Linked DNA regions of Bombyx mori. The protein of the gene in region 1 purifies or fractionates together with the protein of each later gene. This does not show direct contact. Links are inferred from orthologs where the notes say so. Each region holds a gene or a part of one and is shown in the gene's direction. Other genes may lie near its edges.

Evidence for each region.
Region 2: the proteins of FACT complex subunit spt16 (region 1) and DNA topoisomerase I, mitochondrial fractionate together in Homo sapiens (co-fractionation; 3 studies listed by BioGRID and IntAct, with this or other methods). This does not show direct contact. The link is inferred for Bombyx mori from reciprocal best matches to the Homo sapiens genes SUPT16H and TOP1.

Annotation. Positions count from the first base shown.
Region 1 is NC_085116.1:13,778,444-13,781,945, forward strand, and holds the end of FACT complex subunit spt16, read left to right. Parts: intron 1-429; coding exon 430-577; intron 578-937; coding exon 938-1,061; intron 1,062-1,372; coding exon 1,373-1,661; intron 1,662-2,042; coding exon 2,043-2,216; intron 2,217-2,414; coding exon 2,415-2,421; 3' UTR 2,422-2,711; downstream 2,712-3,502. Other genes in the region: protoheme IX farnesyltransferase, mitochondrial, read right to left, coding at 3,007-3,245. UniProt on the Homo sapiens protein: Component of the FACT complex, a general chromatin factor that acts to reorganize nucleosomes. The FACT complex is involved in multiple processes that require DNA as a template such as mRNA elongation, DNA replication and DNA repair.
Region 2 is NC_085110.1:12,999,224-13,003,757, reverse strand, and holds the start of DNA topoisomerase I, mitochondrial, read left to right. Parts: upstream 1-1,691; 5' UTR 1,692-1,931; coding exon 1,932-1,973; intron 1,974-2,279; coding exon 2,280-2,440; intron 2,441-2,521; coding exon 2,522-2,938; intron 2,939-3,112; coding exon 3,113-3,203; intron 3,204-3,399; coding exon 3,400-3,561; intron 3,562-3,743; coding exon 3,744-3,837; intron 3,838-3,907; coding exon 3,908-4,082; intron 4,083-4,253; exon of another isoform or gene 4,254-4,500; coding exon of another isoform or gene 4,501-4,534. UniProt on the Homo sapiens protein: Releases the supercoiling and torsional tension of DNA introduced during the DNA replication and transcription by transiently cleaving and rejoining one strand of the DNA duplex.

The DNA of each region.
Region 1 (3,502 bases):
TTAGAATGAAATAGATTTGTGATAGAAGAAAAATCTGTGAAGAATAGATAACTAATCCACAATATAGCTTACAGATGATGTGTTTGGTTAAGTAAACAACTATTTCTAATTCATTGTCAAGTTTTAAACAGGTATACACAGATATTATAAATGGGAAAGGTTGTGAGGATGGATATGTATTACTCATTCATGCTAAACCTACTGGAAGGATTTTGATAAACTTCAAAATGCAATCGATAGCTTATCAAATATATTATCATGGTAGTAAATAGCCTATTATATAGTATGATCAACGCAGTGGCCACTTCGATTCAAGAAATTGATGTTACAATTAGCAATATTCACAGGAGAGCATGGTCGTGTTGCAGTCTGTCATGAATATTTTTAAGGAGAATGTATAGAAAAAGAAATGTTTTTTCTATATTTCAGTTCTTGTGATATCCGGTACTCGGAGGGTATACAATCGTTGAACTGGACCAAAGTTATGAAAACTATAACAGATGACATTGAGGGCTTCTTCGAAAATGGTGGCTGGTCATTTTTGGATCCAGAATCTGATGGTGAAAATGAACAAGAGGTTTGTATATCAGAAAAGTAGAAAACGTTATAAACGATTTTCTGTTCATTTATTTAAAATAGTATTTAAAAAATTTAAGAAAATTTAAATTATTTTACGTAACAATATACACACTTTTTGTGAATATCTAAGAAACTTTTTTTTAATCATAGTATATATAACTTCTGATATTGGACAACAAAACATAATTTAACATATAACCCAAAGGACTTTAAAGAAAAGTTATTTGAAGCTTAAAAGTAGATATAGGTAATATAATTTTAGAAATTAATTTTCTATGAGATTATTTCGCGTAGATAATGACAGAATTGTTTCGATCCATTCAAAACAACAAATCTGATAAAACTAATTGTATTTTAGGAGGAAGATAGTGAAGATGAAGATGAAGCGTACGAGCCTACGGACGCTGAGTCTGATGAATCTGAAGGGTCTGACTATGATTCTGAGGCGTCTGATGAATCTGACGCTTCGGGTGATAGTGAAGGTGAGAATAACTAATTGTCAATAAATTAAAAAAAATCGGCTAGATGCCAGTTATTCATACATTACCAATATCTTTGACTAAATTGAGATTACCATGATCTTATTTTCGAAGTCAATAAAAAGGCTGTTTAATTTGTTATATTTATGGTTTCTATTAATAATCTCTGGCAAATCATAAGTGTGCTATTAATAATTATTCGTTTATTTGTTCGAATAGTTTATTCGTTTACATTTACTGGTTTACTGGTTGGTTTACTGGCTTTAGACATTACCACAAGTACGAATGTTACATATTAATTACTTGATTCGCAGAGGAAGACGAAGAATCCGGTAAAGACTGGTCAGATTTAGAGCGGGAAGCTGCCGAAGAGGATAAAAAAGACCGCAACTTCGATCGAGATGACTTCGACCGGAAACGTAAAGGACGAAACCAACAACGCTCGTACGACTCTGATGAGGGAGCCGCCAAGAAAAGCAAACATGACAAGTCTAATCATAAAAGTTCTAGTTCAAACCACAAAAGCTCTAGTTCCAATCATAAAAGTTCGAGCTCAAACCATAAGAGCTCCAGTCATAAAAGCCCTTCAAAGAACAGTAGCAGGTATGTCTGAATTGTTTAAATTAGAAAAAATAATTATGAGAAAGGAAAACTACGTATGAAAGCATCACTGAAAAATATTCAGATCTGTAAATCCCAGAAACTCAGCCTGGGTTGCAATAAGTTGAGAAAATTTTAGTGTACAGTATTGACTGACAGGATAGCCCTAAAATGATAGTAACATAATGTAACTAAGATTAAGTGAAAAGTATAATATTTTTCAATGATTATTATAATAATTATTCGGCCATTAAGCAGGCCGAATGCAGGTAGCATTGGAGGAAGCTGGTGCAAAAACTGGACCAAGGTGGTCACGACCCTCAGCAATGAGGAAACGACAGAGAAGAGAAGAGATTATAATATTTATAATTGCCCTAATTTCAGCCCTTCCAAGAACCGGGATAAGCACCACAAATCATCCCACCATGATCGACACCACAAGAGTGACCATAAGTCCTCTAGTAAAGACAAAGACAAGAAACATTCTAGTGACCATAAATCACACAAACGGTCACGCGATGACAGCAGAGAACACGGCAACAGCGCAAAGAAAGCGAAGTGAGTATTCTAAAAACAGATATATTTTATATAAATTTGGTTGCGTGCATAAATTGAAAGTAATAAACAACAGACTTATTTGATAAAAAGTCAAAAGCTGAAATATTTATCTAATAATTTTCTATAAAACAGAAATGCATGTCCCTACCACGTTATTTAATATGTCATTAATAATTAAAAAAAATATTCTTGTTTCAGAAAATAAAAAAGCAAACGTTTTGATACAAAGGATTCAAACGGGTTTCATTCGCCACAGCGGCTTGTTAATAATAATTACGTATGTGATTGTGTCGTCTCATAATTTGTCCGTCTAATGTTAAAAAACAGGTCTGAGTGTTTTGTATGTATGTTGTTAATAAATTTTCAGTTGAGAATGTGACACGATAATAGTTAAGTAAATTTAAATAAATAAAGAACCTGTGCCCCACTTACACAGCACACGATATTGTTTTTCCCGAAAAAAGCAAAGTGAATAAGAAAAATAAGAATTCATAATCTGTGTGTATTTTATTTATTTTTAAATCATAAATAACACGATTAAAAATAAAATAACAAAAAAGTATTATAACCCCAAAATTAAGATTAGGAAATATTCAGTTAGTAGTTACTAGTAAATATATGTACAGCAGTAACACATACAGGAATTTTGTGTTATTTAAATGAAATTCCGAAACCTTGTTTTGAGGTTACAATTCAAATCTCGTAATAGATAACTTACAATCTTCTACATTGATCACATTTGTACATTATGTACAGCAAATAAAATCTACCTACATATAACGTAAAATAATTAGCACTGTTTGTCGTTTCCTTGGGCCACAACGACCGGTCCTCGAGGTAGTACTGTAATTCTCTTGTCTAATATGCCTACGTCCTGGATTTTGGTGTCGGTCTGCTCTTGAGTGTCACTCGAACTCCAGTACTTCTTATTTACTAGCATTAGCAACATTAATGCTGGTAGGTGAAGTAGAGAAAATCTGAATAGCTTCCGCGAACTTGCGCTGTCTGATTTTTGGTAGAATTGCCATGCTGTAACAGATTTTAGATATTGATTTGGTTAATAAACAATGATAACAAAGATATTATTGACATCATTCCAACACGGTAATACAATGAAGGCATCGCTACCATTTAAAACAGGGGTTTCCAAACTTATTTTGTCTACTGCCCACTTTGAGAATAAATTATTTTTAGCGCCCCAATTTTCTCATCTACCGAAAAACCACTCTAGCGATAGCTCAGTCGGTGTCTGTGAGTCAGAGGACTTAAATTTAGGAGTAAATGAA
Region 2 (4,534 bases), on another chromosome or scaffold:
CGAAGAAAGCAGTCACTGTCGACGCCATAGACAGGTCCTTACGGATCCATAAGATCCAATAACTCTTGTATTAAATGCCATCAGCTCTTACAACAGAGCAGACTTAGGAATTCCGGTAACCGTACTCGTCGAACTCGACGTGCAACCTAACCTAAGCATCAGCCCGCTGAATATCTCGCCGGATCTTCTTAGCGGATCACGATTCCAATCCAGTAGCAGATTCAATCGCGGAGCAGCTACTCATGAGTTTTTAGGTCTCCTTTGGAGACGTTCAGGTAGCTGTTAGCAAATCCCAACCCTTCTGGCTTACTCGCCCACTTGTCGTGGTGAAACTGAAAAGGCTTCAAGGCCACCAGTAATCCTTCCTGCACAAAAATAATTAATGAGAATTGCCCCTATGTTTTTGCATTACATTGCATGATTACATTGCTCCATATAGGTAAACTGCACAAGCTAGTCTGTACAGTAAGCACCAATAGATTCAATTTTATTATAAGTCTAATTACCACAAAAAAAAATAGTAAAAAAAGTCAAACAGACAATGTTAAGAATAAAATGATAATAGAAATTAAATCGTAAAAGTAGTTTAATGATATCTACGACTCAAGAAAGCGCTACACGATAACCCTCTTATCGTGACCGCCGCTAGTTAGATATACAAAATATGTATATCCGACCCAAGCGATAGGACAACGCAAAGTCATCGTAGCCCGAAACGTGTCTTGTCGGATCCCCGGATCCACTCTCGGTGCTTTTAGGTCCCTCAAGCACCGGTTACTGTCGTTACGACGAAGAGTTCGACGAGCGAACTAACCCATAGAAACAGTCCACTGAGTTTCTTGCCGGATCTTCTCATTGGGTCGCGATTCTGATCGAGTGGTAGATTCTGCAAAGCACTGCACTTGGTAGGGCTAGTGTTGACAAATTCTCCCGAACACAGCTAGGCTACTCTTGGCAGAGTAGTCGTAGCTGTCGTAGCGGTGGCTTTCGTAGTGCTGGTGATGACGACAATGCAGCCCGTGGGGGTAGACATCGAGGTATTCTGCCTTCTACAAGGCCATTTACGAAAAGTATCTCCACGGTGTCCTCCTTTCTGGAGATGTGCCCAAAGAACTTGAGAATTCGTAGCTGAGCAGTCGACGAGTCTTTTTTTGTATACAAAGTTCTTTGCGAACAACGAACAAGAAGAGAAAACTTGCGATAGCCGAAGAAAATACTAGTGTCGAGAAGCTGATAGTTTACATAAAATCAAGATTGTTAATAAATAATTAATAATAATAATAATAATAGCCTTTTTATTCCTAAACATAGGGTTACAAGAGGTCCCTAAGTTCGGTGTGCCTTTTGGCATAGGCCTCCTCCAATTCCTTCCAATCCAATAAATAATTATCGACAATCTTATATCTTATATTTATTGACAATCTTGGTTTGTGAAGTTTACAGAAATCTTCTATAAAGTTATGAATTGGTTTAAAGTTACGATAGCATGCATGCAGATCTTCAATTATTGACATTTAAGCATGTACAAATAGACGTAGTAATTTTAAAGTGAGCATTACCCACGGTACCGTAATTATAGTTTCTCTACATACGCAGAACCTACTATACTATTATTACACATATTCTGCGTCTGGAAGTTACACGAATTTCGTATAATGACTAAGTATCCAAGTATAAATACTTTAGATTGAATCTTAGATGAAGGCTTAGATGGCATACATTCCATTGCCATTTCAGTTTTTTAAAAAGCTGAACTGTCAACTTGAAGTTCGTACAAACCAGAACATTGAACCAAGCGGAGTGAAGTTCCCTTTTATCGTATGAGCAACGACGCATGCGCATTCGTCACTTCTGGACACTTAGATTTTGCGCTCGTTTTCGGCCGGCCTCATGTAATCTTATTCGAACAAACGTTGTGATACGTAGGCAAAATGAGTGTCGAAAACCCGGCCAGCGATAATGATTGTGAATCTGTAAGTTATTATTTAGACTTGTTATTATGATATTAATCGTTCTACGTATTCAATAAGCTTCTATTGCTTAAGGTTTCGTGTCCTTACTGATGAAAATTACAACACGAAGCAAAATTTTCTAAGTCCCAATATGGCGTCAACTATAATGTTCAAGCAGAAAGAACGTAGCGTCGTTTGACACGCCAAGAATAAATGTGAAAAAAAAACACAAACTGCCACATAGCGTCTTTTCTAAAATATGAACAAATATACATTTGGGGTTAATGTTATGTTAAAAATTAAGAGAAATTTCGATCTCTTTCACAGGGAAAGGTAAATGGAAATAAAAATGAACACGTGAACGGCATGCATAACGGCTACAGTAGCTCTGACAAACACAAATCAAGCCACAAATCTTCTAGCAAAGACAAGCATCGCGACAAAGATCGCGATCACAAGGGCTCGTCCAAGCACAGCAGCTCTAGCAGGTAAGCATTCTAGAATATTCTGTATGAAATTAACGTTTTCACTATGAAATATTGTAAGTTTTATAAGTATTGTATTTAAAGAGACAAGGACAAAGACAAACACTCAAGCAGTAAAGAGCACAGCAGCTCCCATAAATCTTCCAGCAAAGATAAAGAACACAACAGTGAAAAGAGAGACAGAAGTGATAAAGATCACAGTAGCAGAGATAAAGAACGTAGTGACAAAGATAAACACCGCAGTGACAAGGACAAACATAGAGAAAAATCAAAAAGTGACAAAGATAGGCGTGATGAAAAAGACAAGAATAAAAGCAGTTCAGATAGCAAAAAGACATCATCATCATCATCATCCAGAGATAAAGAACACAAAAGCTCATCAAAGGATAAAGATCATAAATCTAAAAGTAAAGATGAAAAAGATAAAGATCGACACAGGAGTGACAAGGATAAACACCATAGGGACAAAGATAAGCACTCCAGTTCAAAAGATAAAAACAGGTATATATAGACAAGTATTTTTAATTAGAATTTAAAACTGACAGTATCCAGTCATATATATTTGACACCATCAATAGTTGTCAAAAGTCAGTAACATTTGGTTAAAAATTTTTGTAATGAATGCACCTGCATCTTAAACTACAAATTGAATGTATTTTGCAATTTTGGTTTCAGCTCCAGCAAGAACAAGGAGAAAAGTTCAAGTGAAAGAAATGAAAAGATAAAATCTGAGTCTCAGAATGTCATAAAAGATGAACCTATGGAGGTGTGTATGTGGGCTATTATTTTCTTATTGCATTCCAACATTGTCTGAAAAGCATAAATATAAAATCATTCTCCAAATATGCACTAAACCCTATAGTACTGCCATTCTCATAATGAGTTTTTTTGGTAGTTGTCTATTTATTTGGATGCCATTGTCCATGAGGGCCAAAATAATAATTTAGTTTTTTATTGTTAAGGTGGATCAACCAGTCTTAAAACGTGAACAAGATGATAGTGATGAAGGATATGCTGGAGCTAACACAACTGTCTCATCTTGTGACTACTCTATGTCCCAATTTAAAGATGAGCCACTTTCTGAACTGCCTCCAGATGATGAAAGTGAAGAGGATATACCACTAGTAAGTTGAATTCAAGAATAATCCATTTATACTTAATAACTACCAACTTAATACCCAAATTTATTATAATATTAATTTTTTTACTCATCCTTGTCCTTATTTCCTATTTTTATCATACAGTAACAGTTCTTATTTTTACTAAATATATAGTTATCTAATAAAATGAATATATTATTTTATAGACTGCACGAAAAGCTAAAAAACGCCATGTTAGTGATGGTGAAGAAGACATTCCATTACTACAAAGAAAGAAATCTAAGAAAAAAGTAAAAAAAGGTAAAAGTCTTAACATTATTCTAGAAATTAATTATAAACAGCTTTTTGAACCTTTTGGAAATGTTTACAGAAGAGACTTATGAAGATTATGATGATTATGAAGAAGATGAAAAACCTAAAAAGAAAAAGAAGAGTTCTGAAAAAACTAAATCAGTTAAGGTGAAATCTGAGCCCATAGATGATGGTATCAGTCCCAATAAACGGAAGAAAAAACAAGACACAGAAACAGAACAAGTCTGGAAATGGTAATTAAAGGCTATTTTTTGCTCATTAAAATATTGTAAACGATTATTTATAGTCTGACATTGCCAAATTATCCAATGTTTTGTCTACTTTTAAAACCAATAATATCACAAGGCAAACTTTAATTTGTTGTGACTTCAGATTGCTCAGTAGAACTTTTTTAACATTAAATATTTAATCTTAAACTCTGTGAAGTAACTGCTTTAGTGACACTTCATATCTAATTTCTACCAATAGATGGCGTGACATATCCAACCTAATTCAAGCATTGTCAGAAATAATTTGTCACATAACATCTTGATAGCATTTGACGTTGATAGAGGCTACCCCTCAAACATTTTAAATAATTCGAAACATAAGTGATCAAATTAAGCTGGATAAAATTCGTCAAATCATTTTTAGTTCGATATGTAATTGTGAATGTTCTTTTTTGAGGTTATATTGGTTTTATGGA